2 linked regions of the Lonchura striata genome follow. The protein of the gene in region 1 purifies or fractionates together with the protein of each later gene. This does not show direct contact. Links are inferred from orthologs where the notes say so. Each region holds a gene or a part of one and is shown in the gene's direction. Other genes may lie near its edges. The genes, in order: ATP2B4 and NPTN.

The links.
Region 2: the proteins of ATP2B4 (region 1) and NPTN purify together in Homo sapiens (co-immunoprecipitation; 3 studies listed by BioGRID and IntAct, with this or other methods). This does not show direct contact. The link is inferred for Lonchura striata from reciprocal best matches to the Homo sapiens genes ATP2B4 and NPTN.

Annotation. Positions count from the first base shown.
Region 1 is NC_134632.1:2,833,586-2,848,128, reverse strand, and holds the start of ATP2B4 (plasma membrane calcium-transporting ATPase 4), read left to right. Parts: upstream 1-7,617; 5' UTR 7,618-7,766; intron 7,767-14,543. UniProt on the Homo sapiens protein: Calcium/calmodulin-regulated and magnesium-dependent enzyme that catalyzes the hydrolysis of ATP coupled with the transport of calcium out of the cell. By regulating sperm cell calcium homeostasis, may play a role in sperm motility.
Region 2 is NC_134613.1:6,369,203-6,383,631, forward strand, and holds the start of NPTN (neuroplastin), read left to right. Parts: upstream 1-7,590; 5' UTR 7,591-7,697; coding exon 7,698-7,785; intron 7,786-14,429. UniProt on the Homo sapiens protein: Probable homophilic and heterophilic cell adhesion molecule involved in long term potentiation at hippocampal excitatory synapses through activation of p38MAPK. May also regulate neurite outgrowth by activating the FGFR1 signaling pathway.

The DNA of each region.
Region 1 (14,543 bases):
CACCCCTCTTTTGGTATTTCATCTCTTTATTTTGGATATTTCACCATTTATTTTGGGTATTTTCACCTCTTTATTTTGGGCATTTCACCACATTTTTGGCATTTCACCCTTCTTTTGTGTATTTCACCCCTTCATTTTGGCTATTTCACCCTTTTTTCAGTATTTCACCCCTTTTTTTGGGTATTTCACCCCCTTTTGGGTGTCACCACAGCTTTGCCTTGTGGCATCAACACCCGCGATGTCCCCTTATTGTCCCCCAGCACCTGCAGGTGGGGTTAGGAGGGAAATGGACCTTTCTGGAAGCAGGAATCCCGAGAATCCTGGAGGACGGGAATGTCCGGAGGCTCCGTGTGGCTTTGGGGTTTTCACCGCTGGTCCAGCCTCCAGATTTCCCATTTTGGGAGCACCTTGAGATTTTGGAAAAGCCGTTCCCGACCACACAACTTAGTGAAGGTGACAAAAGTGGCATTGTTGGGGTCATCCCTTCTTTGGCTGTCGCATTTCTCCTCCACGGTCCGTGACCCAGGTGGCACCGAGGGCATCTCCAGCTCTCCCAACCCTTTCTCCCCGCATCCCTGGAGGGAAGGACGACCCCAAAATAGCCCCAAAGTGGGGCTCGGGAGCTCCTCCGCCTCTCCAGCTCGTGGCTGACAGCTCGGGAGTGACGGGCAGAGCTTTCATCTCCCTGTCCCCGAGCTGTCACTTGGCACCCCTCGCTTTCAGCACCACCCACCGCGCTGTCACCGCCAGCAGCGGGGACTTTCCTGGGGCCCACCAAGGTCCCCGAGCTGTTACCGCGCTGCAAACACCACGCACGAGGTTCCTCCTCGATGGCAGGAATGAAACGAGGTCGGAACTGGAGGGGGAAAAAAAAAAATGTTCATTTCGGGATCTCGGTGGGGATTTTCCCTGCAGGTGTTTTCTGTGGGAATGCAGAGCTTCCCTCTGGCTGACCTGGGACCCTGGCAGGGGTCAGGAACCCCCCTGGACAGAGCCCCCAGAGACACTGGCTGTGATCTCTGGCCATGGAAAAGAGTTTTCAATCTCACAGGATCAATTACCAGCTCTGAGTGTTTGATATAAGTAATAATTAAGTGTGGCACGGGTGCAAAAGTAAAATTTTAGGATTCTAGATGAGGGGTCCAAAGGGGACAAGCTGGAGGAAATTGGGTGTGCCTTGTCCTTTTTCTCCTTCTTCATGCCCTCCATGTCTCATTGTGGTGTTGGCATTTTTCTGTTGGTTCAGGCTGGGGACACACTGTCCAACGTAGGTGACAGATATTGGCACGTTCTTGTAAATCCAGCCCAGGGAGTTTCTGGTATTTAATGTTTGTAACATCCCACTGAGGGCAGAGCCCCACACGCTGCCCTGCAGGACAGAGCTGGGCAGGGCAGCAGAACATGTGAGAGATAAACAGAATAAACAACCTGGAAACCAGCACAGACCAATTATGGCTTCTGCTTTGGCAGCGGGGCAGAAAAACCCCCCAAAATTTTCTACAATCTCAGAATCATCAATACCTCGGATTCCGACAGTTTTCTGCCCCTGCGAGGACAGAAAATCTCCTGGCTAGCTCGCCAGATGAAAAATCAAAATGTCACAATTTTAATAAAGATTTGTAGGGAACGGTAACTTTTCATTTTTTTAACGCTGGGATTTCCCCTCCCGCAGGGATCCCCTTCAAAGGGCACGCACAAAAATTTCTTTTATTATTCTGCACTAATTTATATATACATAGAATCTTATAATATGATTATATGCATTATATGATGCAGTATATGATTGTCATGATTATAATGCATATGATTATAATATGATTATATGATTTTATGCATAGTTATTTTGTTAATTTTGAGTTGCAATTTATAGTTGGCCCTTTGTATAGAGAACTCTTTAATCTCTTTGGTTATTCTTGCAGACTTTTATTTTCTTAGTTTTAGAGTTTAAGGTGCTCCTCTTATCTCTTCACCTTAGAAATCACATTTTTTTACTTTAGCTGGGACAGTTTTACAAGCACAGTATAGTTAACAGACTAAGCAGGAGATTTTACTCGTGTTAGTAAGCTGTGTAGTATACTTGACTTAGATCTAAATAGATTTTTTTACCTTGTTAAATTTTATTCTATTTCATCATCCATGGAAAAGCACGGATCCAGCAGCCCGGAATTCCCCTCATCCCCAGCAGGGATGCTTGGGAAGGAGCAGCCCAGAGGCTCCTCCTGAGCCTCAAATTCACAAATTTTGGGGGTTTAATGATGGGAATCCAGGGCATCCCTCTGGCTACCCTGGAAGCAGAGGGATGCCCTGGATTCCCACATTTAATAAACAAATTTAAATCCCGCCGTGCTTCCAACCGGGAACGCGCAGGGATGGGGAAGGGAAAGGCTCCCAGGCACTCTGGTGATCAATTCTGTAGGTGAGCAAATAATTTCATCTGCTAATTACGGCCATAAAGCAAAAAATCCCTCCCAATCCCCAAATTCCTCCTCTGGCCTCTCCTGTCAAGGCCCTTTTCCCTAATGAAGGAGCTGCTTAATTAGGAATTAATGGGGCTGTTGGAGTGATTGGGAGGAGGAATAGGCTAGGAAAGGTTCATTAGTGAAGTGATGGGTAATTAGCACTTCCGTGGCTGCGGGAATTTTTTTTTTTTTTGGGAGGGGGGTCTCCAAAGACCTTGGAGTGAGCAGCGAATTGGTGTGGATGCCATGGGACATTTTCCATGGGCATCCCAAATTCCAGGCAAGAATCCAAACCTTGACCAGGCACCTCGGGGTGCTGCAGCTCAGGGGTGAGCAGGCAGAGGGAAAAGAGGGAGAAAAAGCAGGAAAAAAATCTCTTAAATCCGCTTTTCATCAGCTGTGGGAGCATCTCCAGCTCCGTGGTGCCTCCAGGACCCCCGGCATTCCCGGCAGAGCCTCTCCAGGGTTTATTTATCCCCGAGCACATCGCTGCTCTCCCTATATTTAGCCCTTGAATGGAGAGAGATTTTACAGACGCCTGACTCTGCCTTGTGCTCCAAAAGTCACTCAGTGTTTCCATGAGAAACCCGCGGGGAGTGGGGGGGGGATCCAATCCGGAGCTCCGTGACAAAATCCTGCCCAAAATCCTTCCCAAAATCCTTCCCCGCGTATTCCAGCAGCGCTGGATTTACCCCGTCCGCCCCCTCCGGGGATGAGATCAGGATCTGGCCCCGGGTTTTGATGGGTTTGTAACTTGGCTGATACAACTCGGCTGATTTAATTCATTTTTCAGGCTCAAAAACTCCACCTACAAGTTCCCAGCCTGGGAGGCATTAAAAGCAAATTAATCCAAATATTAGAGGCTGGGTTTAAAGGGAAATCATCAGGGAAGGTGGATTTTTTTTTTATTATTATTATTTTGGGTTTTTTTTTTTTTTTTTAGGGAAGAGCCTGGGGGAGAAGTTTTCTATTTTGGGGTTATTTATTTTACCTTGGTGCTGCCTCAAGGCCTGGCACTGCCCACTGCTCTGCTTCACTTCCAGAGCAGCCAGAAAAGCGCTGGGGGAGGAAAAGAGGTGGCAAAAATCAGGAAAACAGCCGAGATTCCCATGGGGATTTAGGTCCTTGGTGGAGAATTTGGGTGCTGCCGGTCACTGGGGGAGTTTGGCTGATTTTCCAGGGAATGGGAAGGGAGAGGCCTCAGGGATGTGGTGGGGATCCAGAGGAGCTGGGTGCAATGAATGAGAGAAATCCACTGGGAATCCACCCGGGAATCCAGCCAGGAATCCACCTGGGAATCCACCCAGGAATTCACCTGGGAATCCACCCAGGAATCCACCCAGGAATCCACCCAGGAATCCACCCAGGAATCCACCCAGGAATCCAACTGGAGATTCACCTGGGAATTCACTTGGGAATCCACCCAGGAATTCACTTGGGAATCCACCCAGAAATCCACCCAGGAATTCACACAAGAATCCACCAGGGAATCCATCCAGAAATCCACCCAGGAATTCACACAAGAATCCACCAGGGAATCCATCCAGAAACCCACCCAAGAATCCATCTGGGAATTCACCCAGGAATTCATCTGGGAATTCACTTGGGAATCCACCCAGGAATCCACACAAGAATCCACTTGGGAATCCACTTGGGAATCCACTTGGGAATCCATCTGGAAATACACCCAGGAATCCACCCAGGAATCCAACTGGGAATTCACCCAGGGATCCACCCAGGGATCCACCCTGGAATTCACCCCAAATCCAGCCTGTCCCTGCTGTCACCCCAAATCCGTCCTGTCCCATCTGTCACCCTATACCAGCCCGTCACCATCATCACCCCAAATCTGTCTGTCCCCATCATTACCCCAAATCCAGCCTGTCACCCCAAATCCAGCCTGTCACCCAAAATTCAGCCTGTCTCTTCTTTCAGCCTATACCATCCTGTCCCCAGTGCCACCCCAAATCCAGCCTGTCCCAGTGCGAGCAGCGTGGGGACACCTCTGTCACCTCCCCGGGGGTGGCCAAGCCACTGGGAGGAGCAGGTGAGTGGAGCAGGAGGGAAGCAGAGACCAACACAGAGGGTCCCAAAATATTCTGTGAAGGAATTTTTCCCATCTGCAGCTCGTGGGGACAGCTCGGTGCTGACTTGGAGGTGATACTCCTGCTCCTGCTCCTTCTCCTCCATGTTCTTCTCCTTAAACGTGGCCTGGAAGAAGCTCTGGGGCCGTTCATGCCTCTCAAAAATCACATTTCCCCACACGGATTTCGGGATTTTGGCTGCTCCCTCCCGCAGCCGCTACCCTGGGGTGGAAAACCTGTTTTTCCCCTTTTTAACCCAAACCCAATGCTGCAAATTCCCGGCAAATTCCTGCTCACACGGCTTCCCTGGGGCAGGAAGGCTGATTTCCTTCCAGGAGCCCAAATCCAGATGGTCAGAGATTCCTTCCAAGCTCCCAGAACCTGTTGGAAAAGGCCATTATGTCTCAATAGCAGCTCTGCATGGGAAGCCGTGCCTGCCAGCTGCTCCAACACCTCTTTTCCAAGCTGTTCTGTGAACCAGCCTGCTCAGGGCTGGCAGATTTTGGTGGAGGAATAAAAATCCCTGTGTTTATTCCCATTTTTTTGTGTGTGGCGGGCAAACGTGGAGTGAGTGAAAGGGGCCTGAGTTTGGTTTTTGAGTCTTTGTCATGAGAATGCCCAGCCCTGAAATATTTTATATTTTATTATCTATAAAGCTATAAATCTATAAACCTATAAATCTAGAAATATATACATATATACATATATACATATATACATATATACATATATACATATATACATAATAAATAAATAAATAAATTTATATATATGTTTTATTTTCAGTAGGAATAACCCTGGAAACTCCCAAGGAGCAATTGAGGAGGAATTCCAAACCCAGGGCATTTTCCTCTTCCCAAAGGTGGTTGCGAACAATGCCCAATCACTTGTTTTTTTTAAAATTTTAAAAGTTCGATAATAATAAAATGGTTATAAAAATAATAATACAATTAGAGGAATAAAGTTTAGAGTTAGGACAATACAAGACAATACAAAGCAAAGAATTATGGATGTTTGGGTGCTTTAAGTCATGAAAAGCATGACTTGTGAACAAAAGAATCATCCTTAAACCAATCCACTTGTTGCATATTCATATATCCTTCATGGTTATGCATATATTTTATTTAAAACAAACTCTGTCTGTTGTATGTCAGTTGTTTCCTTTAATCCCTGGGCGTCTTCGATCTGAGCAAGGCCTGAAGAAATTAAGCTTATTCTGATAAGAAGCCATAAATTCTTCTCTTTTAGAAGATTTTGGTGTTCCTTGAAGCGAGTATCTCATTCCTAAAAAAATAAAAAAACAACTTCCCCCACATACATAGTCTATATTTTAACATTAAGTTGTAACCTAAAAGTACATTTAACACACTACCGAAGAGAATTAGCACAGCATCACTTTCTAACATTACACACATAATATTCTTCGTGCCATTTGCGAAAAGCCAATCACAAAATCTGCATTTTTCACAGTCGTGCTCCAAAGGATGCGGAGATGGAATGAAATCCAACCCGGGCAGCTCTGATGTCGCTCGGGTGACTCCAAAAAAACATTCCCAGCTCCAAAAAAATCCCCTGGATCGGCTGGGCTGGGCGAGAAGGTCCATCCCGGAGAGCTGAGGGAGGAATTCTGCTGGAAAATGGGGTGGAAATGAATTCCCAGGGCTGGCAATGTGGAATTCCCGAGGTGCAGGCCCAAACCTCTTGGGATAGCTAATGAGGGGCTAATTAACGAGGGCTAATGAGGGGCTGTGGCCGCAGGGGTGTTGCACTGGTTAAACTGGAACAGCTGGAGCCCAAACTGGGATTTGGGAGGGGATTTTTGGAACCCCCTCGAAGCCCTGCATGGAATCCTTCCATGGGGAATTTTATCCGGGTTCCTTTAGGAAAAGGGGCGAGGGTGGGATTTGGGGTGGGGGGGTTGGGCGTGCTGGATCTCAAGGTGTCAGCACCCCCAAATTTGTGCTGCCTATGAGGGGACAGGGTGGGTCAGAGCCACCCCAAAAGTGCTAAAACCCCCCAAAAAACCCCAATTTTGTCCCAGGTCACAGAATTCCTTCTGCCACCTCCACGGCCGGAGTGGGGAGGGGGCTGGGCATGAGGGTGCCAGCGGTTTTTGGGGTGCCCACACTGCCCTGGGGGGTCCCCACAGGTTTTGGGGGTGCACACTCCAATCTGCTTTCAGGGTGGGGTCCCCACATTGCCCAGGGGTGTCCCCACTCTTCCCGGGGGTGCATCTGCCTCCCTGCCCAGCGTGTCCCCACCCTGCTTGGGGACCCCCATATCGCCCCGGGGTGTCCCCAACTCTTCCCAGGGGTGTCCCCACATCGCCCAGGGAGTGTGCCCAAATTTCCCAGTGGTGTCCCCACCCTTTTGGGGGTGCACCCACTGCCTTGTCCAGCGTGTCCCCACCCTGCCTGGGGAACCCCGTATTACCTGGGGGTGTCCCCACCCTGCTTGGGGACCCCGATATTACCCGGGGGTGTCCCCACATTGTCCGGGGAGGTCCCCACACTGCTTGGGGGTACCTGGGGTGGCACCTGGGGGTCCCCACATTGCCCATTGGGGTCCTCACATTGCTCGGGGGGTCCCCACATTACCTGGGGGTGTCCCCACCCTGCTTGGGGACCCCGATATTACCCGGGGGGGTCCCCACATTGCCCGGGGGAGTCTCCCCTCTTTCTGGGGGTGCATCTGCCACCCTGTCCAGCGTGTCCCCACCCTGCTTGGGGACCCCGATATTACCCGGGGGTGTCCCCACATTGCCCGGGGGAGTCTCCCCTCTTTCTGGGGGTGCATCTGCCACCCTGACCAGCGTGTCCCCACCGTGCTTGGGGGTCCCCGATATTACCCGGGGGTGCCCCCACCCTTTCCAGCCGTGCACCCCCCGCTCTGCCCGTGGGCTCCTGCCATGTTCGGGGTCCCCCACGCCGCTGTCCCCCCCTCGCTGGTCCCTTCACCCCGTTCCTGTCGCCGTCCCCCTTAAGCGGCCGTCGGGGCGTGCAGCCACCTTAAGGGAGCCCCTCCCCCGGCGGGCTGGGACGAGCCCTCCCCCTCCCTGCCCGCCGTCCCCTCCCTCGCCGGCCCGGCCCCGCACGGCCCCGCACGGCACGGGGGGTTGCCATGACAAGCATTTTCTCCCGTTAGCTCCGGGACCGCTCCCCCTCCAGCCCATGGCCAGTCGCGGGGGCTCCGCCGCCAGCCGGGCGCCGTGGGACCGGAGCCGGTGAGTGCAAGGGGTGGGGGGGACACGACCCCGAGAGCTTGGGGGTACGGGGGTCCCGCGGGGGGTTTGAGGTGTTGGGGACACGGCGGGGGGACGCACGGGAGTGGCGTGGGGTGGCTGCGGAGCGGGGGTCTGTGTCGGGGCCGGGGGTGGGAGCATCGCCGCCCCCGCCGTGGGGGCGGTGGGGCGCTGGCAGCGGGGGTTTCACCGCCCCGCTCCGTCCCGGTGCAGCAGGTGGGATGGGGGGGCTCGCCGTGGGTTCTACATCACGGGGGGGTCGGTGTGGGACCCCCCCCCAGACCCCAATCCCACGTGGGAGAAGGGTGGGGTGGTGGGGTGACCGCGGTCCGGCCGCTCCGGGGCGTGGGCGGCTGCGGGGAGTGCAGCCCCCAAATTTCTCGTGGGGGGGGTAACTCCGGCAGCCCCCCGGGTTTTGGGGTGGGGAGGATGCTCCGGTCGGATCCTACAACTTGTTGCCCGCCCTTGAGGTGGCTGTGTGTGTGCGGGGGGGAGGACGGTGCGGGGTTCCCGGTCGCGCGTGTTGCTGGATTTTTTGGGAGGCAGCGGGTTGTGGCATTGCGGGGAGGAGGAGGATGAGGATGATGGAGGAAGGAAGAGGCGGGGGAAGGGGAGGGGGGCTTGCGGCAGCCCAAGGACAGAGCGGGGAAGGTGCTGCGTGGGTGGGTTTGGGGTGGTTTTTTTCCCCCACGCGTGGGGCAGCAAAGGGGGCTGCTCCCTGCCTGGAGTGGGGTGACTCGGGTGGGGGGCGCGTGGGGAGGGTGGGATGCGGTGGGGAGGTGCGTGGGAGGGGAGGGGGGGTTTGCCCACGCCACGGCTGGGCACGTCTCCCTCCTGCCTGCACCAATCCAGCTGGGCAGAGCCACAGCAGAGAAAACAGGAGTGGGGAGGCGGAAAATAAATTAAAAAATAAATCAGGAAATCTATTGCAAGCTCGGCCAGGCTCTGGCCTCGTCCGCCTCCTCCTGCCTCTGTCCCCAGCGCTCTCGCTGCATCCCAGCCCGGCTCCGGAGCCTCCCAGCATCCCTGGCCTGGCTCGGTGGGTCCGTGTCCCCCGTGGGCTGCCGGCGGCGGGGGCGGGGGGGGCTGTGCGGAGCTGGGTGGTCCCTCCCCGCTTCGCCAGAGGCGAGTGGAGATGTTGGGAGGGGAGGAGGGACAATAGGTTATTGTGCTCTTATCTCTGGAGACCTGAGCTTGGGTGGGGGTTTGCATTGCGAAGCCCAAACCAGTGCAGCCAGTTTCTGCCCGTGGCCGTGGACTGGCAGCCCCGGACGTGGGTGGACGGGCAGGAGCCGAGGGCAGCGAGCCGGGGTGGAGGTGAGTGCTCGGAGCTCGCCATGGGGCACCCAGAGCCGTCCTGGGGCCGGGGGACCCCCGAGGTGAGCCCCCCATCCCAAACCCCTTGGGCTGCGTGGGCAAGGCAGGGGCTGCACCGCTGCCTGCGCCCTGCCTGCCTCCAGACATTGCCCTCAATCTTTCGCTTTTCCGAGCACTGAAACGCACCTAAATTATTCAATCATGAGCGAGCGAGGCTGACGCCCCCGCGCTCCGCCAGCCCCACCCCGCCGCGCCCCGGGGATCCCTCGCCGGCCCTGGGCTTCCCTCCCCGGCTGCCCCCTCGGGTGACCGCCCGGACCCCTCCGTGCGGCCAGGCTGGCGGCTCGGGGGGGCTGGAGGTGCCCTTCGGATCGGAGCGGCGGAGGACCCTTCCTCAAAGGTGGGCGCTGGGTGGGCTTGGAGGCCAAATTGTGAGTGCCCGAGGCCCGGCTGCATCGCCTGGGCTGGCGGATGGCCGCGGCACGGGGAAGGTGCCGGTGCCGGGATGGTGCGGCTGGAGCTGGGAGGAGGCAGCGCTTCCCCGTTCCGGCCCCGGCACCGCGCGTTCCCCGCGGGCTCCGGCCCCGGCCCGCCCTGGCCGCCGGCGGGGCCGTGGCTGCCGCTCCCCGTCCTACCTACCCCGGCTCCTTCCCGGCTGGAAAAGCGCTGAGAAGTGCTGCAGGTAGAGAGGTTTGAGAGGGCGCATTCTGTTGTTGGGTGTTGGTTTCTTTTCTCCTTCCTTTTTTTTTTTTTTTTTTTTGTATTTTTTTTTTTTTTTCCGCTGGCGATGATGACGGAGGGAATTCCCTGCGCTGCCGGCTCGCCGCTCGCGTGCCGTGGGTCCGCATCTCTTCCCGGGGGAATCTGCCGCTGTCACCCCAGCCTTGCGCCTCCGGAGCCGGGAGCCGCCGCGCCCGAGCCCCCGGGCAGGGCGGGGGCAGCCCAAGGGTGGCACGGCTCCTTGGGCAGGATGAGTAAGAGCAGCAGGGAGGGACGCCTGCTCCTCTCCACTATTGTTTAGCAGTCGAAAGCTCCGGGGTGGAGCTGAGCCTGGAGTTTCCCCTTGTCCCCAAGCCCTGCGAGGCGAGCCCGCTCCTTCCCCGCCGCCCCTCGCCGGGGCCGCGCGTTCCCCGCGCGTTCCCCGCTCCTCTCTCGGGTTATGTGTTTTCTTCTAGTTTTTTTTTTTTTTTTCTATTCCTGTTTCTCCTCCCTGCTAGGCCACGAGCGGAGTTTTCCCGCAGGGTTGGAGCCTGCGGGGAATTTGGGGACCCAAATCTCTGCGGTGCCGGGGGGGACTCGCAGCCGCCACCCGCTCGCTGCTGCTGCTCCCCGAGCACGGCCCGGCCGAGGGCTGGGCCGGGCTGGGCTGGCAGCTCCGGCTTCCTCCTCGCCCAGGGCTCCTCCCCGCCGGGCACGGCTGCGCCCTGCTGGGAAAGGAGCCGGAAAACCTGCGGGGAGAGCCCGGGCATCCCGCTGGGTCCGGGAGAGCCCGGGCAGGGACAGCGAGACCCGGCGGGGAGACACGGTGTGGCTCTGGGAAGTGACCGATGGTCAGTGTGGGTGTGGAAATGGGATGCAGATCTTTTGGGAAGTGACCGATGGTCAGTGTGGGTGTGGGAATGGGTGCAGGTCCTTTGGGAAGTGACCGATGGTCAGTGTGGCCATGGAAATGGGGTGCAGATCTTTTGGGAAGTGACCCATGGTCAGTGTGGCCGTGGAAATGGGGTGCAGATCTTTTGGGAATTGACCCATGGTCAGTGTGGCCATGGAAATGGGGTGCAAATCTTTTGGGAAGTGACCCATGGTCAGTGTGGCCGTGGAAATGGGATGCAGATCTTTTGGGAAGTGACCGATGGTCAGTGTGGGTGTGGGAATGGGTGCGGGTCCTTTGGGAAGTGACCGATGGTCAGTGTGGCCGTGGAAATGGGGTGCAGATCTTTTGGGAAGTGACCCATGGTCAGTGTGGCCATGGAAATGGGGTGCGGATCTTTTGGGAAGTGACCCATGGTCAGTGTGGCCGTGGAAATGGGATGCAGATCTTTTGGGAAGTGACCGATGGTCAGTGTGGGTGTGGGAATGGGTGCAGGTCCTTTGGGAAGTGACCGATGGTCAGTGTGACCACAACAGTGGGATGCAGGCCCTTAGGTGGGAGGTGACCAGTGCTCGGTGTGACCATGGCAGTGACCAGTGCTCGGTGTGACCATGGCAGTGGAAGTGACCGGTGGTCACTGTGACCATGGCAGTGGGAGTGACCATGGTGGTGGAAGTGACCACTGCTCGGTGGGAGGTGACCATGGCAGTAGGAAGTGACCAGTGCTCGGTGTGACCATGACAGTGGGAGCTGACCAGTGGTCACTGTGAGGTGACCATGGCAGTGGAAGTGACCAGTGCTTGGTGTGACCATGGCAGTGACCAGTGCTCAGTGTGACCATGGCAGTGGGAACTGACCAATGGTCACTGAGGTGACCATAGCAGTGGAAGTGACCAGATCTCGGTGTGACCACGCTGATGGATGCAGGCCCTTAGGTGGGAAGTGGCCACTGCAGCACAGGCGGTGCCACTTCCCTGGTGTCCCCTGTCTCCTGTGGCTGGCTGGAAACTCCTGGATCCAGGGATGCTGCAGCATTCCCAGTAAGGAATGGCTGTTCTGGCACGCCGGAGGGGCTCTGGTGTGCAGAGCTGGGAATTTGAACCCATCCCTGTCCCCCTGTGTTGTGCTGGGGGGAATAGGGATCCGATAGGTGGTGATGGGGCTGGAGATGCTCCTGTGGGAAGGAGCTTTGATGGCAGAGGTGGCAGAGCTGTCCCCAACCTCCCTCCTCTCCACACTGGTGCAGGCAGAGGTGACCAGCTGGGGGACAGGGACAGGCAGGTGACGGGATCCTGCCCAGCCCAGCGGTTTTCCAGTGGAAGCCACTGGTTTTCCCAGTGACACTGGGACAGGGAATGTGTTTTGGGGTGCAGGGATCGCTGGGAGCAGTCGGGTGACAGCCACAATCCCTGTCACCTCCTACCAGCGCTGAGGCTGAGCTAATGAACCCTGTGACTTTGATGTTTTAATTAGTTGCTTTTGGCTTTAATGCACGGGGATAATAGAGTTTCTATGGACTTATAAACCCTGCCCCTCTGCTGGATCGTTAGGAAAAGGGAAAAAAGCCACAAGGTAAGGCTGGGTAGGGACAGGAGGGAAGCTTGGAGCCCTGTGGAGTGCATGACACCCGCTGGGGTGTCACCCAGCCCGCTGGTGACTCTTTGAAACCGCTAATTAAGCACCTTAAATCCTGGGAGAACTCTCTGTGAGTAAGAGCTGAGTTCAGAGTCCTCCTGCGTTTGTGAGCTTCTGGGAGGGGTCTCAGATTGGAACGTGGGAAGCTGATGCACAGCGAGGTCCCGGGAATTTTGGGATTTTGGGATTCCCTTTTGGGGCTGGCCCTGCTCCCTCCAGGGTGCAGAACTCCACCAGGGTCCCCATGTCCCACCAGCCTGGGCTGGTGACAAGGGACATGGGGACCCTGGTGGAGTTCTCCTGGGATTTCTGGATCATGGCATCAAGTCTTACATGGGGACCTAAATATGGACCAAGAAGTGTGGGCTGGGGAGGGAACACACAGCGGTGACACCAGCAACCCTCTGCCCAAATCCTGCAGCTTCAGGGCGAGGGAAGGGACGTGGGATCAATCGTCCATCGTGGGATTGATCATGGGATCAATCATGGGATGGGATCGATCATCCATTGTGGGATCGATGGTCCATCATGGGATGGGATCGATTATCCATTGTGGGATTGATTGTCCATTGTGGGATTGGTTGTCCATCATGGGATGGGATCGATCATCCATTGTGGGATCGATCGTCCATCGCGGGATCGATTGTCCATCATGGGATAGGATGGGATCGATCATCCATTGTGGGATTGATCATCCATTGCGGGATCTATCGTCCATCATGGGATGGGATCGACCATCCATTGTGGGATCGATTGTCCATCGTGGGATTGATTGTCCATCATGGAATGGGATGGGATCGATCATCCATTGTGGGATTGATCATCCATTGTGGGATCAATTGTCCATCATGGGATGGAATCGATCATCCATTGTGGGATTGATCGTCCATCGTGGGATCCATCATCCATTGTGGGATTGATCATCCATTGTGGGATGGGATGGGATGGGATGGATCATCCATCGTGGGATCGATCGTCCATTGTGGGATCGATCATCCATTGTGGGATGGGATGGGATTGATCATCCATTGTGGGATCAATTGTCCATCATGGGACGGGATCGATCATCCATTGTGGGATTGATCGTCCATCGCGGGATCCATCATCCATTGTGGGATTGATCATCCATTGTGGGATGGGATGGGATGGGATGGATCATCCATCGTGGGATCGATCGTCCATCATGGGACGGGATCGATCATCCATTGTGGGATTGATCGTCCATCATGAGATGGGATCGATCATCCATTGTGGGATGGGATGGAATTGATCATCCATTGTGGGATCAATTGTCCATCATGGGACGGGATCGATCATCCATTGTGGGATCGATCATCCATCGTGGGATCGATCGTCCATCATGGGACGGGATCGATCATCCTTAGCCCAGTGCCAATGGGAGAGCTGCCGGCCTCGGGAATCCTTCCCTTCCCTGCGGCACCAGGGGCTGTGTGCCACCCCAGTGCCACCGCAGTGCCACCGCAGTGCCACCCCGGGCCTGTCCCTTGCCACCCCCACCCACTGCGGCCACCCGTGGCCGAGCCCTGGCGTGTCCCAGCGTGGGGAGCTCCCGGCCGGGGCAGCACCGGCCGAGGGGAAGCTCCGGCCAAGTGTCCGCGCTTTGTGCTGACGGGGAAACTTTTCCTTCCACGCTTCCCCGGCAGGGATGAGTCGGCAGCTGGGCTGAGCCGAGCGCGTTGCCGGGGGCGAGGAGCAGTCCCGGTTTTCCCATCCCGTGCCCCCGTGGCTGCTGCGGGAAGGAGCAGCGAGCCGTGCCTGGGCAGAGCCCGGCGCGTAGGAGTCCCCACCCGGAAGAGTTTGTCCGGCGGGGCCGGGGAGGGAGGAATCCGATCCCTCCTTTCCCAGGCTGGGATCCCAGCGCCGGAGCTCGGCTCTGCGTGGCCGGTTCCCCTCTGCCGAACCCCCCCCACTCTCCCCAGCGTGGCTCTGCCATCCCTCCGCGCCGGGCCGGGTCCCGCAGCAGCGATTCCCGACATCTCCTCTTTTGTCTGCGGCTCGCAAAGGTCAGCCCTGCCTCGCTCCGTTAAGGAGCTGTAAATAATCCCCGCTCCGTGTGCCGCGGCTCCAGGGCTGAGCCCAGCATCCTCCTGCTCCTGCCCGAGGAGGTGATGCAGCCCAGCCCCGGGGGGACGCAGCGCTGCAGAGCCGGGGGGCAGCGGGGTGCGGGTGGCCCGGGGGGGGACAGCGGCGTGTCC
Region 2 (14,429 bases), on another chromosome or scaffold:
CTGTCCCACAGCCTCGGGGCTGTGCTCATTCCCTGGGCAGCCTGGGCAGTGCCCAGCACCCTCTGGGGAAGAATCTCCCACCTGACCCTCCCTGGCACAGCTCCAGCCGTTCCCTGGGGCCTGTCCTGGGTCAGGGCAGTGAAGAGCCGGGTCCCTGCCCCTCCACTGCCCCTCAGGAGGGTGGCACAGGGAGGTGCCCCCTCCGCTTCCCCTTCTCCAGGCTGAGCAAACCAAGTGCCCAGACAAGCAGGGTGGCATCTCCAAATACATCCCTGAGGGAAAACAGCTCGTTGAGGTGGCCTGGATGGAACCAACAGGGAGGCCCCAGCCCTGCTGCCTCCTGAGCAAACTGGTGCCCAGTGACAACTCCTGGGCCACTGAAGCCCTGGGCAGCCCACCTGGGGTGGCACTCCCACCCACGGGTGTGGGAACCCTTGTAAGCTCAGCCCAGTGCTGCTCCTGGCTTGTTCTGGGCTCCTGCTGGTCTCTAGTTTAGCCCCAGCTGTCCCTGCACCTCTGGGCCCTGGGGATCTGAGTCCTGGCCTGCATTGATTTCCCAGGAGCTCAGGTCTGGTTTGTGCCCCTGGAGGTGCCCAGGGACCTCCTGGCTCTGTCCAGCCCCAGGTGCCCCTGCTGGGATTGATCTTGAGCTATGGAGGATTGGTATTTCCAGCCTATCTTGTGCAGCATGTGGGGAATTCTGGCTGCTCTCCTTTCTTGCCAGCCACAGCATTGTTCCTTTCCTTTTTCCTTTTACCTTTTTCCTTTCTCCTTTTTCCTCCTTGCTGCCCCACAAGGACACCCCGTGCCCCAAGCCACACCCCAGGCCACTAAGATGCCACGGGAGCAGCCCGAGTGTCCCCGCAGGACACGGGGCTGTCCCTGCAGCCACCACAAGAGCCCAAATCCCTGCTGGTTTTGGGGAGGAGCCCAGCTGCAGGCAGTGCCCAGCCTGGCTGGAGCCAGCCCTGTGCTAATCCAGGGGTGCCACCTGCCGGATCAGCCACATCCTGAAGATTCCTCCAGATGTTCCAAGTTTACCCCGCTGTGCCTTCCCGGAGATCCTCACTGGCATTCAGGGACAAGCTGGGGTGTAGCAAAGCCGCCCGTGGCTGGGAGGAGCTGCTCCCAACAAAAATTATGCCTTCCCTCAGGGTAATGAGGTCAGGGAATGACTGAGTTATTGAACTCCATTCCCTAAAAATTGGGTGGAGAAAAACGTTACAGTGTGAAGAATTTGCCTTCAATAGAGACAAATAATTTCGGGCTGGGTCAGAGAGGAGGGAGGAGGGAAAGCAGTTTGATTTGTGTCCCTCTTGCTCCTTCCCTGCAGAAAATAAGGTCAGGCGAACTCCAGCTGTCTGTGGTAACAGCTGATGTCGGCCCTGCTGAGATTGCTGACTCCGTGCGTGCGTTCCAAACCAGGCTGCCCCAAATCACCCTCGGCTCGTTTTGCACGGAAAGCCATTTCTGGGAGCGTGGCAGGAGGGGGAGAACCCAACCCAGCTGCCGCTCCCCGCGGGACTGGGAAGTGGCAACTCAGCTTTCTGGACATCTAGATGGTTTTGGTTTTGTTTGTTTGTGTTTTTTGGGGTTTTTTGTTTGGTTGGTTTTTTATTACTACCTTGAGATCTTTAATGTTGTTGGGGTTTTTTTTGTGTGTGTGGTTTTTTTTTTCGGGGGGGGGGGGGGGGGGAATTTGGGGTTTTTTTAGCAGCTTTGCCTTTGACTCCTTTCCCTCAGAGCACGTCCCTGTGTGATTTTACAAGCTCTCCCTTCTCTCATTTCTCAGAGCACGGGGGTTTTGTTCCGTTTCATTTTTCCCTGGCTGTTTAGGAGGAGAACTGAAGGGCTCACCTGTGCAGCAGGGTGTGAAGGAGGCCTCCGCGGAGCCTCACCCCGATGTTATCTCACGAGGTTCATGTCGTTCTCCGGCTGCCACGGTGCCTCTGGGGAGATGAATAGCCACGAATCAGGTCGCAGGTACCTTTTGGGATCGCTGTTTTCCTGGCAAGCGGCCCCGTGGGAGCATTATCTGATGTTATCCAGGGTTTCTCAGCCCTGAGAGCAGCTGGAAAAGAGGGGGTTTGTGCTGGACTCTGTTTCCTGCTCTGCCCTGGCCCTGAACACATTCAAAAGAAGGTGAGTCCATGTGAGGAGAGCAGAGAAATTCTTCCCTGTGATGGTGGGGGACAGAATTCCCAAGCAGCTGTGGCTGCTCCTGGATCCCTGGAAGTGTCCCAGGCCAGGCTTAACGGGGCTTGGAGCAGCCCTGCCCATGGCAGGGGGTGGAATGGGATGATCCATGAAACCCTTTCCATCCTGTGAAAGCTTTCAAGTGCCAAAACACATCACTAAACACATCAAAATAACAGGGATCTCTCAAACGCTCGCAGCTGCAAGAAGACAAGCTCCAAATTCCCCCACAAAATAAGGAGGATGCCTCTGTGCTGCTCTCTGAGAACTGAAACTCTCCTGAATTTCCTGCTGACTACAGGGTGTTTTTTGCTTCCTCTTTACTTACCTCGCTTTCAAGATTTTCTGTCTTTCTCATTCTGAAGGAAAAAGCAGAGAATAATCAAAACTGAGACCCCCTCCAGGTGAAAATACGGGTCTTGATTGAAGAGAAAAGGCAAGGGATTGGGAAACTTTGCCATACCTGAGTTTACCCTGGCATTCCTGAGGCCAGGAATCACCAGGCAAACACATCACCCTGCTCAGACTCCATCTGCTGGAATCCCAGGGTTTTCTTCACCACTGAGGCGCCGTGCTGGATCTAAGGCTGGACAATCCCCTTTTCCTGCAGAACTCCAGGTGTAAGAGGATTCCTCATCCACGGAACAAGAAGAGGGTTTTTTGGCCACCGTTGATATGGCTGGATACCTGAGTGAGTGCTTTGTTATAAATTTTAGGGATCTGTGCTCCAGAAGACTTGGGATCAGACCCATGAGGACATCTCCTGGCCATGGGGACCTCCTGCTCTGGTTTCTTGTGCTGGATGATCACAAATCCATGGATCAGCTTCGTTCTCCAGCGGAGAAACCTTCCAGGGATGCTCCAGCTGCCAGCAGGGCTTGTCCCCAGGGCAGAAGCAGAGTGTGAAAAATACATATTTTATGATTGGCTTTTCGCAAATATTACAATGAGTATTATATGTGTCATGTTAGAAAGTTATGCTGTATTAATTCTCTTAAGTAGTGTGTTAAATATAGTTTCAGGTTCCAACATAATGTTAAAGTAGGGACTGTGTATGTGGGGGAAGTTTTTTTTTTAGGAATGAGATACTCGCTTCGAGGAACACCTAAATCTTCCAAAGGAGAGGAATTTATGACTTCTTATCAGAAGAAACTAATTTCTTCAGGCCTTGCTCAGACTCAAGACACGCCAGGGGATTAAATGAAACAGCTGACATACAGCAGAGTTTCTTGTTTTAAATAAAATGTATGCATAATCATGAAGGATATATGAATATGCAACAAGTGTATTGTTTCAGGGGTGATTCCTTTGCTCACAAGGGATGCTTTTTGTGACTCAGTGTCCGAGAGCTTTATTACTCGAATTGTATTATTATTTTTATAACCATTTTATTACTATTAAACTTTGAAAATTTTAAAAACCAAGTGACTGGCGTTTTTCACAAGAGGAACACAAGTGACAGCTGAGTTATGCAACTGCGGAGAGAAACTCTGAGCTGGTGAGAGAGGAGGGGAAAAAATTCCTCCTGCTAAGTTGGGCTGGGGCCTGTGGCAGCGTGAGTCACCCTGAGCTGCCATGGTTACGGAGCAAGGATTGCTGAGCAGTTCCAGAGCCTGCTCCCAGCGCTGCTCACTCCTTCCAAACTTGGAAAACAGCACTGGAGGTGAGGCCTAATAGCGAGTGGGAGTCTGCAAGGAGCAGAGTTACAGCGAAATCCTGGGAAAACGGCGGGCAAATGTTGGAATCTGAGGTATTGATGATTCTGAGATTGCAAAAAGTCTCTGTCTGTCAGCCCCGCTGCCAAAGCAGAAGCCATAATTGGTCTGTGCTGGTTTCCAGGTTGTTTATTCTGTTGATCTCTCACATGTTCTGCTGCCCTGCCCAGCTCTGTCCTGCAGGGCAGCGTGTGGGGCTCTGCCCTCAGTGGGATGTTACAAACATTAAATACCAGAAACTCCCTGGGCTGCATTTACAATAACGTGCCAATATCTGTCACCTACGTTGGACAGTGTGTCCCCAGCCTGAACCAACAGAAAAATGCCAACACCACAGTGAGACATGGAGGGCATGAAGAAGGAGAAAAAGGACAAGGCACACCAAATTTCCTCCATCTTGTCCCCTTTGGACCCCTCATCTAGAATCCTAAAATTCTACTTTTGCACCCGTGCCACACTTAATTATTCCTTCTATCAAACACTCAGAGCTTGTAATTCATGCTGTAAGATTGAAAACTCTTTTCCATGGCCAGAGATCACAGCCAGTGTCTCTGGGGGCTCTGTCCAGGGGGGTTCCTGACCCCTGCCACGGTCCCAGGGCAGGCAGGGCAGCCAGAGGGATGCTCTGGATTCCCACAGGCAAAGAGCAGCACGAGGGGCAGTGCTGGATAAAACTGCATTTCTGGCTCTCAGGGTTGTTCCACACAGAGGGGAACAAAAGAGCCACGGTGAGAAAAAGCAGGGTAGTGTCACACAGATGAATCAGCTGGCACCAACAGTGAGTCATGGAAACGCACCGTGGAAATTCTCCAGCGCAGTGGAATCTCTGAGCACATGGAAGCTGGCATCCCTGGGGAGCCAGGGGGAGCCGGGATGACGTGGAGCACCAAAAAACTGCTGCTCCTCACGTGTGACCTCGCCCCTGCCGCCCTCAGCCAAGTCCTGAAGCGCTCAGGCAGGGATTTCAGCAGAGTTTTCATGTGAAAAGTGTGCCTGGTCCTTGCTTTCAGTGAGTCACAGCAGCGATAAAAGCATGAGAAGTGTGTTTGCTGATGGGCAGCTGAGACAGACCTGGGCAGGGTGAAGGAGGAGGGAGACAAAGTCAAGAAACCAGGACAGTTTGGGCTGTCACCACCCATAATTTCCCAGCCCACCCCACTCTGGGCATGCTGGTGACACAGGGCTCTGCAGAAAGCTGAAAATCTGATCCTGAGGATTTTCTGCTGGTTTTTCCCCCAGTCTCCTTCTCTGCTGGTCTGTCCCACGATCTCCTACAAGCCTCATATCTCCCCACCATCAGCTGGGCTTAAGGGCACAGAACAAAGCAAAAGCAAGCAGCAAATCTGACCTGGCATCTGTGATTTATGACAGAAAAATAGAGAAAAGCCACCCAGAGCTCACCAACAGCTGATTTCCAGCGTGCCTGGCTTGTCCAGTCATCCAGGAGTGAGATTTTGTGCTCTTTGCCCACAACTCCACGGCTAACATGGAATTACACCTTTGCTTCACGCAGCGTTTGTTTCCTACTCGTGCAAAAATGACACATCCCTTGAAAAATCTTTTGTATGGAAGCATAGAAGTGATGGATGGAATGGTGTTTAAAATTATATCGGTGTTTTGTGGGTGCGTGGACCTTAAGCTGAGCAATTTGGGGTGGAATTGGGTTCCTCTGACACACTGTGACCCTTGCAGAACGGCACAGAAACTCCTGAGTGAGAATGAACAGAGCCAAATACCAGCTCTTACCTTGTACTCACCAGTGTTTTAAACCCATGAAGAACAGAAGTGAGGAGGAGTGTGGTGCTTTGCATATCCCAGCCAGAGGGGTTCCACCATGGCAGCTCTGACGGGATGGATCCCTCAGGAGGGCTCTGCCATGGTGTCTGAGGGGATGGATCCCTCAGGCGGGCTCTGCCATGGCATCCCTGAGGGGATGGATCCCTCAGGCAAGCTCTGCCATGGCGTCCCTGAGGGGATGGATCCTTCAGGCGGGCTCTGCCATGGCGGCTCTGAGGGGATGGATCCCTCAGGCAAGCTCTGCCATGGCGTCCCTGAGGGGATGGATCCCTCAGGAGGGCTCTGCCATGGCAGCTCTGAGGGGATGGATCCTTCAGGCGGGCTCTGCCATGGCAGCTCTGAGGGGATGGATCCCTCAGGCGGGCTCTGCCATGGTGTCTGAGGGGATGGATCCCTCAGGCGGGCTCTGCCATGGCATCCCTGAGGGGATGGATCCCTCAGGCCGGCTCTGCCATGGTGTCTGAGGGGATGATGGATCCCTCAGGCCGGCTCTGCCATGGCATCCCTGAGGGGATGGATCCCTCAGGCGGGCTCTGCCATGGCGGCTCTGAGGGGATGGATCCCTCAGGCGGGCTCTGCCATGGTGTCTGAGGGGATGATGGATCCCTCAGGCGGGCTCTGCCATGGCGGCTCTGAGGGGATGGATCCCTCAGGCGGGCTCTGCCATGGTGTCTGAGGGGATGATGGATCCCTCAGGCGGGCTCTGCCATGGCGGCTCTGAGGGGATGGATCCCTCAGGCAAGCTCTGCCATGGTGTCTGAGGGGATGATGGATCCCTCAGGCGGGCTCTGCCATGGTGTCTGAGGGGATGATGGATCCCTCAGGCGGGCTCTGCCATGGCGTCCCTGAGGGGATGGATCCCTCAGGCGGGTTCTGCCATGGCGTCCCTGAGGGGATGGATCCCTCAGGCGGGCTCTGCCATGGCATGTCTGAGGGGATGGATCCCTCAGGCGGGCTCTGCCATGGCATCCCTGAGGGGATGGATCCCTCAGGCGGGCTCTGCCATGGTGTCTGAGGGGATGGATCCCTCAGGCGGGCTCTGCCATGGCAGCTCTGAGGGGATGGATCCCTCAGGCGGGCTCTGCCATGGTGTCTGAGGGGATGGATCCCTCAGGCGGGCTCTGCCATGGCAGCTCTGAGGGGATGGATCCCTCAGGCGGGCTCTGCCATGGTGTCTGAGGGGATGGATCCCTCAGGCGGGCTCTGCCATGGTGTCTGAGGGGATGGATCCCTCAGGCGGGCTCTGCCATGGTGTCCAGAGCAGGGGCTGCACCATGCTGCCCTGAGGGGACGGTTCCCTCAGGCGGGCTCCGCCATGGAGACCCTGAAGGGACGGTTCATTCAGGCGGGCTCCGCCATGGTAAATCTGAAGGGACGTTTCCTTCAGGCGGGCTCTGCCATGGAGACCCTGAAGGGACGGTTCATTCAGGCGGGCTCCTCCATGGTAAATCTGAAGGGACGGTTCCCTCAAGCGGGCTCCGCCATGGTAAATCTGAAGGGACGGTTCCCTCAGGCGGGCTCCGCCATGGAGACCCTGAAGGGACGGTTCCCTCAGGCGGGCTCTGCCATGGAGACCCTGAAGGGACGGTTCCCTCAGGCGGGCTCCTCCATGGTAAATCTGAAGGGACGGTTCCCTCAGGCGGGCTCCGCCATTGCGCTCAAGGAAAGCTGCCTCAGGCAGCCTCCGCCATGGCGCCCCTGAGGGCACGGCAGAAGGGGAGAAGTGGCAACTCCCCGCCGCCCGGGCGCCCCTGCCGCGCCGCCAGCTCGGAAGCTCGGCAAGCAGCAGAGAAGCCGCGGCACGGGCCGGGCCGAACGGGGCCAACATGGCGGCGAGGGGCGGGCGCCGGCACCCCGGCGGTGCCGCCCCCCGCCCCGGCGGTCTCGCGAGAGCGGCGGCGCTGCGGTAGGAGGTCGGCGGAGAAGGACGGACGGAGCCGCCGCCGCCTCAGCGCCTCGCCTCCCTCCTCCTGCCCCTGCCTCGGGAAGATGCCGCGCTCCGGGCCGCTCCCCGCCGCCTTCTCGCTGCTGCTGGCGACGGCCGCGCTGCTGCCGGGCCCGGCCGCGGCGCAGAACGGTGAGCGAGGGCGGCGGCGGCGGCGGGGGGGGCCGCGTTGCTATGGCGGCGGGTGTGCTGTGGGCAGCCCCGCGGGTGGGGGGCGACCCCGGGTTTGGGGGGAATCGCTGGAGATTTGGGGTCCCTCAGGGGAAGGGGGAAGGAGGAGAAAAGTGTGGGGGGGACAGGCTCGGGCCCCCCCCCCGGTTCCTCCTGGGGCGCCTCGTGCCGCCGGTAAAATGGAACATCTCCTCATCTCCTCCCGCCTACTGAACCCGCATCTGCCGGGCCGCCTTAAATCATTTATAATGCAATAAAGCCCGTAGTTCCTTAGCAACTGGAGAGGTCCTTCTGATAGGAGAGTAAAAGAAGGAATTAAGGGGAAAGAAAAAAGAAAAAAAAAAAAAAGAAACAACCAACCCACCACACCCCGAGCCTTCTCCGTTCCTTGTAGGCTAGCGTGAGCTAAATCCAGCGCGGCTGCCTCCTCCCCGGCGAGTTCGCAGCCAAGTGCATGACAATTAGTGGCAGAGCGGAGCGGGGCCAAGAGGCTGCTCCAGCCGAGCCTCCTGCTCCAGGGAAATCCCGCAGCGCCGGGGAAAATGCCTCTGTGCTCCCGGGGATGGAGCTACTCTCGGGAGGTGGAGGTGGTCCCGGGGGGATGGAGCTGCTGCTCCCGGGGAGATGGAGGTGCTCCCGGGGAGATGGAGGTGCTCCCGGGGAGATGGAGGTGCTCCGGGGAGATGGAGGTGCTCCCGGGGAGATGGAGGTGCTCCGGAGGGGATGGAGGTGCTCCCGGGGAGATGGAGGTGCTCCCGGTGGGATGGAGGTGCTGCTCCCGGGGGGATGGAGGTGCTCCCGGGGGGGATGGAGCTGCTCCCGGGGAGATGGAGGTGCTGCTCCCGGGGGGATGGAGGTGCTCCCGGGTGGATGGAGGTGCTCCGGGGGGATGGAGGTGGTCCCGGGGAGATGGAGGTGCTGCTCCCGGGGGGATGGAGGTGCTCCCGGGGGGATGGAGGTGCTGCTCCCGGGGAGATGGAGGTGCTGCTCCCGGGGGGATGGAGGTGCTCCCGGGGGGATGGAGCTGCTCCCGGGGAGATGGAGGTGCTCCCGGGGAGATGGAGGTGCTCCCGGGGGGATGGAGGTGCTGCTCCCGGGGGGATGGAGGTGCTGCTCCCGGGGGGATGGAGGTGCTGCTCCCGGGGGGATGGAGGTGCTGCTCCCGGGGAGATGGAGGTGCTGCTCCCGGGGAGATGGAGGTGCTGCTCCCGGGGGGATGGAGGTGCTCCCGGGGGGATGGAGGTGCTGCTCCCGGGGGGATGGAGGTGCTGCTCCCGGGGGGATGGAGGTGCTGCTCCCGGGGAGATGGAGGTGCTGCTCCCGGGGAGATGGAGCTGCTGCTCCCGGGGAGATGGAGCTGCTGCTCCCGGGGGGATGGAGGTGCTCCCGGGGGGATGGAGGTGCTCCGGGGGGGATGGAGGTGCTCCCGGGGGGATGGAGGTGCTCCCGGGGGGATGGAGGTGCTGCTCCCGGGGGGATGGAGGTGCTCCCGGGGGGATGGAGGTGCTCCCGGGGAGATGGAGGTGCTTCCGGGGGGATGGAGGTGCTCCCGGGGGGATGGAGGTGCTCCCGGGGAGATGGAGGTGCTCCCGGTGGGATGGAGGTGCTGCTCCCGGGGGGATGGAGGTGCTCCGGGGGGATGGAGGTGCTCCCGGGGAGATGGAGGTGCTTCCGGGGGGATGGAGGTGCTCCAAGGGGATGGGGCTGCTCCCACTGCAGCATCATGGTCAGCGCTGCTCGGGCCTGGGGAGCCGGCAGGGAGCTGGGCTGGCAGGAGGAGCCGCTGGGAAAACCTGCCCAGGAGGAAGGGCTGCCTCTCTCACACGCCAATTCCACGCTAGTTTCACCATTTGGTCCTCCTTTCTCTCGCCTTCCTTTCTGCTCTGCTGATAATATTCAGCTCTAGAGTTTTCCGGCTGGTGAGGTCCTTGGCTCTTTGCGCCGGGGGAAGCCTGGAATCCTCGGAGCTGGAATGTCCCAGCCTGGTTTGGGCTGGAAGGGACCTTAGAGCCCATCCCACCTGGCAGGGACAGGGACATCTTCCACTTGGCCAGCACTGAGCCTCTCAGGGTGTTTTTCAGTGATATCTAGATGGGAAAAATAGTGTCCTAAAGATCGCAGGTGAGAGTTATTCCCTGAGCACGTGCGGATTTTGAAGCCAGCAGCGAGCCTCGTGTCTCTGTTAACCCGAGTTTGGCCCTGGGAGTGAAACCTGGAGGCTGTGCAGAGTGAGGCAGTCTGGGCAAACCCTGGAGCCGTGTGGGATTCAGGGATGCGGGAAGGGGGATGGATTTGTGGATTAAATTTGGTTCTGTAGCACCGCTCAGTTCCCAGAAAAATTCCAGCCTGGGGAGGGAAGGAGTTAAATGGAAATGGGTCGCGTGTTCCGGGAAAGGAAGGTGTCAAGTGCCGGCAGCTGGGATGACAATCCCGAGTGGCTGCGGGACACTGCAAACATTTGTTTGGCAGCACTTAGGGGTCTGGAGGCCAGCGATAAAGTGAATTTTGGGGAGAGCTGCAAAGGGGCAAAGGATCTTGGCGTGAGGGGGGATTGCAGCGCACTGCTGTGTCCTGGAAGCTGAATAATTGTTATTTTTAATCAAGTGGTGAGGGAGAGTTTCTGTATTGCTCTGGGAGCTCACACAGGTGAGTGAAAATCTGCTTGGGAAGGGTTGGAGCAGCCCAAGCCAGGTGCAAGGTTGAGGTCTTTGTGACTTAAGGTTTATTGCTGCCCCAGTTTTAATGTAAAAAGGCCCTGCTGCAGAGGAGCTGGGTTTTTTTCAGCAAATAATGACCTGTGGGGAGCTTCCTGCAACAGAACAATTCCTCTTTGGGTGGAGAACAGGTCCAGCGTTTCCTGAATTGTGGCTGTTCCTTCAGATCTCCTTTGAAAACGCTTCTCACCTCTGGGTGTGTGCTGTGAGGGGCAGGGGAGGATCCCAGAGGGCAGCAATTCCTTATCTTTTATTGATGTGCAACCAGCAGAGTGATGGAAGGTGAAAAGTCCAAGGCAGGGTGGTGGAGGAATGGCCACGGAGCTGTTGGAGCTCACCTGCAGCAGAAAATCCCCGCTGCAATGCTGAGAGTTTGCGGGGAAAAAAAAAAAAAAAAGCTTTTTTCCCCACCTCTGACAGCAGATCTGTTGAATTCCCAGTAATTTTTCCAACTTAATCCAATCCGGAACATTTGGAGTCAGGCTCACCTATGGATTTAAGCTTGCTAAAACCGGGAGGAGGGTTTTGCTTTGAAAGTTTTTAGTTTGGAAGGATTTTATTTTGAGGGTTTTATTTTTCTGGCAGCTTTATTTTGAAAGCTTTGCATAAACACCTTGAGATCTTAGGGAAATGTGGCAGGAGTTGAACTTTTCCTGCATATTCTGCTGGGAAAATGCTCAGTTTCTGCTCAGGGCTTGCATCCAGAGCAGAGTTCTGATGGCACAGGGGAGAGATGGGGAAGGATGAGGAAGAGCTGGAAAAAGCCAGTCAGGAATATCTGTGTTTAACCTGCACTTTCTCAGGGCAGCTGTTGGAAAATCCCTTTAATGCTTCCAAGCAGGAGGAGAGGAAAACATGACTTTTCCATCATTGTTTCACCTTTGAAATATCTTGATTTCCAAACAAGCAGCTGGAAAACCAAAGGCTTCAGTGCAGTGATAATTCCACCCCAGAGTGGATTTAAAGGTTATTTTATTGTCTAAAATTGCTGCTGGGGCTGCTCCAATCTGGGAAATCTGCAGTGGTTTTTTAGCACAGCAACACAAGGGTTGGAGTGGGAGCAAGCTAAAGCACAGAGAATTCTTCACCATAAAATTGCTTGGGTTGTTCTGAGCTGGGCATGAGGGCAAATAAAACCAAATTAATTCAGGTGGTTCTTATTTAGTTCATCCTCTGCATGGATGGAGAAGGAACTAACTGGCTAAAACCAGAATATGGATTTTCTGTTGGCAGAAACCAGCAATAAATGAGGAAAATCATCTAAGCTCACCCTGAATTCTGAAAAATGAATTTCTTCTTGAAGGAACCAGTGAAAAACTTTGCTTTTATCCTTGTTTGTGCCTGCTGAGCCTCAGCACCTGAGCTCTGCTGTGCCTTTTCCTGGTGCCCAGATAAATGTGAGCATTTTTGGAGGCTGAGTGTGGGCTGAGCAGCGAGGAGAACGCTCAGAGCTCTCTTCTGCTCCTCCTCCTCCTCCAGGCAGGATCTCCCCTGCTCCTCTGCTCTCCCAGGTCCTGCTTTATGTCCCCAGCCCTGCCCAAGGTGGCTTTGTCACCCTCTAGATCATGGATTTTATTTCATTTTTTGATTTTCATTGCAGTTATTGCAGCTCCCGAAATTCACACACGTGCTGCACTTGCCTCCAGTAGTGAGATTTTATTTTCGGGGGGATTTTTCTCTAAAGCAGGACAATTCCTGTGGCCACGTTCCTCTAAAGTTTGGTTTTGGTTAAAGCAGGAGGTGCAGCAAAGCACAGGGAGCCCTCACAGCTTGGCTCTGCTCACCCTAAACCCTTTTTTCCATTTTTTAAAAGTTTCCCAGCAGAATTCTTCTTTCTGGAGGCTGGAATTGGGCTGGCTGCTGTGGGATTTCAGAGTCTGATCCTTTGGATGCTTGGGCATGGGCTTTTTGTGTTCAAACTCCTCAAAACAGGAATATTTGGGAATAAATAGTGACTTTTTCCCAGTTAATTCCAAAATACAAATCCTGACTTGTGTAAAGCTGGAGGAGGGAGCTTGGCTGTTAAAACATGACAAAGCTCCATCAAATCCAATATTCAATCATTCAAATAATAATAATTACCTGTGATTTTATTTTCACGGTCATTTATTCTCACTTGAGGTTAAATATTTGTTTGGTTCCTGGTGCTGCTTGCAGTTTTTTTTTTTTTTTTTGGTGTTTGTTTGGGTTTTTTTTGGGTGGTTTTTATTTTTTTGTGTGTTGGAGATGTGCACTGTGAGACATTTTTCTAGAGGAAAATAGATCAAAATGTCCTGTTCTGGTTTGAATAAATAAGAAAAAAAAGGTTTTTTTGCTCAAATTCCTATAGTTTTGCATTCCACGTTTTAAAATCCACAGCAGTGACAGGTGTAGCTCCTCACATTTTGGGGGTACTCACAAGGATCTTCCACTGGTTTGGAAACCTAAAATAACACTTTATTTATAAAAAAAAAAAATAAGGAAGTTACAGCATTTGTGTTGCTAGAATAGGAAAACGAGAGGAAGGGGGAATATCACGACCTGGAAAAAATATAATTACCCCAAAACCTCAGCTGGGAGCACACGGAATTGCTTGGTAGAACTGGCCGGGAACATTTTGGGAATGCTGAGGGATGGATTGAAGTGCCCAGGGAAGTTTTTTTTTTGGCAGTGCAGCCTGCAAGAATTCCGTGAGGGCGGACAGCGGGAGTTTGCAAAAAAACAGATGCTCGGAGGAGCATTTTTAAACCGGAGTGTGCAGCAGCTCAGCCCTCCGGGGGTGATTTTGTTGGGAAAAGCTGCTGCAAATGGGGTTTGAATCGCTGTCCTTTGGAGCTGCCTGGGGGGAATTAAACGGTGCTGGAGGGGTTTGAAAGCAGCTCCGAAGCAGAGGGCAGCTGCTCTGTCTGCTGGCTGGTGAAATCCCTGCAGGTGGTGGGAGCTGCTGGATGGTCACAGCACTAGAAAATCCCTAAAATAAAGGTTGGCAGCTTGGTTTTGGTCTGGTCTGGCCAGGAGGATCATTCCCAAATTTCCTCCCAGCACGCTCAGGACTGAGCCAGTGATGCCTTGGGAAGGCTGAGCTAGAGCAGAGACCAGACTGAGGTCAGGAATGAAGCAGGGATTTATTAAAAGGATCTCCTCAGTGAATCCACCTTGGGCAGCACCAGAGCCCAGCCAGGGCTGCAGCCAAGGTGAACCAAAATGGTCCCAAAAAGGGAAAACTGGTCCTGAGGTGTCTCACTTCTCTGAGTTCTGCTCCATTTGCATATTGGGGTTCATTGTGCAATTACAGCTTTAGGTTGTGAATCCCATCCTGCTTGTTTTTCTCTCTCCAGCCAAAGCTTGCAGCTCTGCATGGGGTCAGGGATTGCAGCTCTGCATGGGATCAGGGATTGCAGGATCAGGGATTGCAGCTCTGCATGGGATCAGGGATTGCAGCTCTCCATGGGATCCCCAGAATCAGGGATTGCAGCTCTGCATGGGATCAGGGCAGGATCAGGGATTGCAGCTATGCATGGGATCAGGGATTGCAGCTCTGCTTGGGGTCAGGGATTGCAGCTCTGCATGGGATCAGGGCAGGATCAGGGATTGCAGCTCTGCATGGGATCAGGGATTGCAGCTCTCCATGGGATCCCCAGGATCAGGGATTGCAGCTCTCCAAGGGATCAGGGCAGGATCAGGAATGCAGTTTGTGCTCTTGGGGCTGAGATTTGGATCACTGGTCCTTGGTCCCAGCCAGAGCAGGAATTGTTTTGTCTCCCTGCTCTGTGCAGAGAGCTCACCAACCCCTGACATGAATCCCAGACCAACACACTAAGGCAGAACAGAATGTGAAAATACAAAAGCCAAAGCTGAGGCATCACTCTGTGCCCTCAAGCAGCAGCAAATCCCTGTGTGTTACCTTCAGTG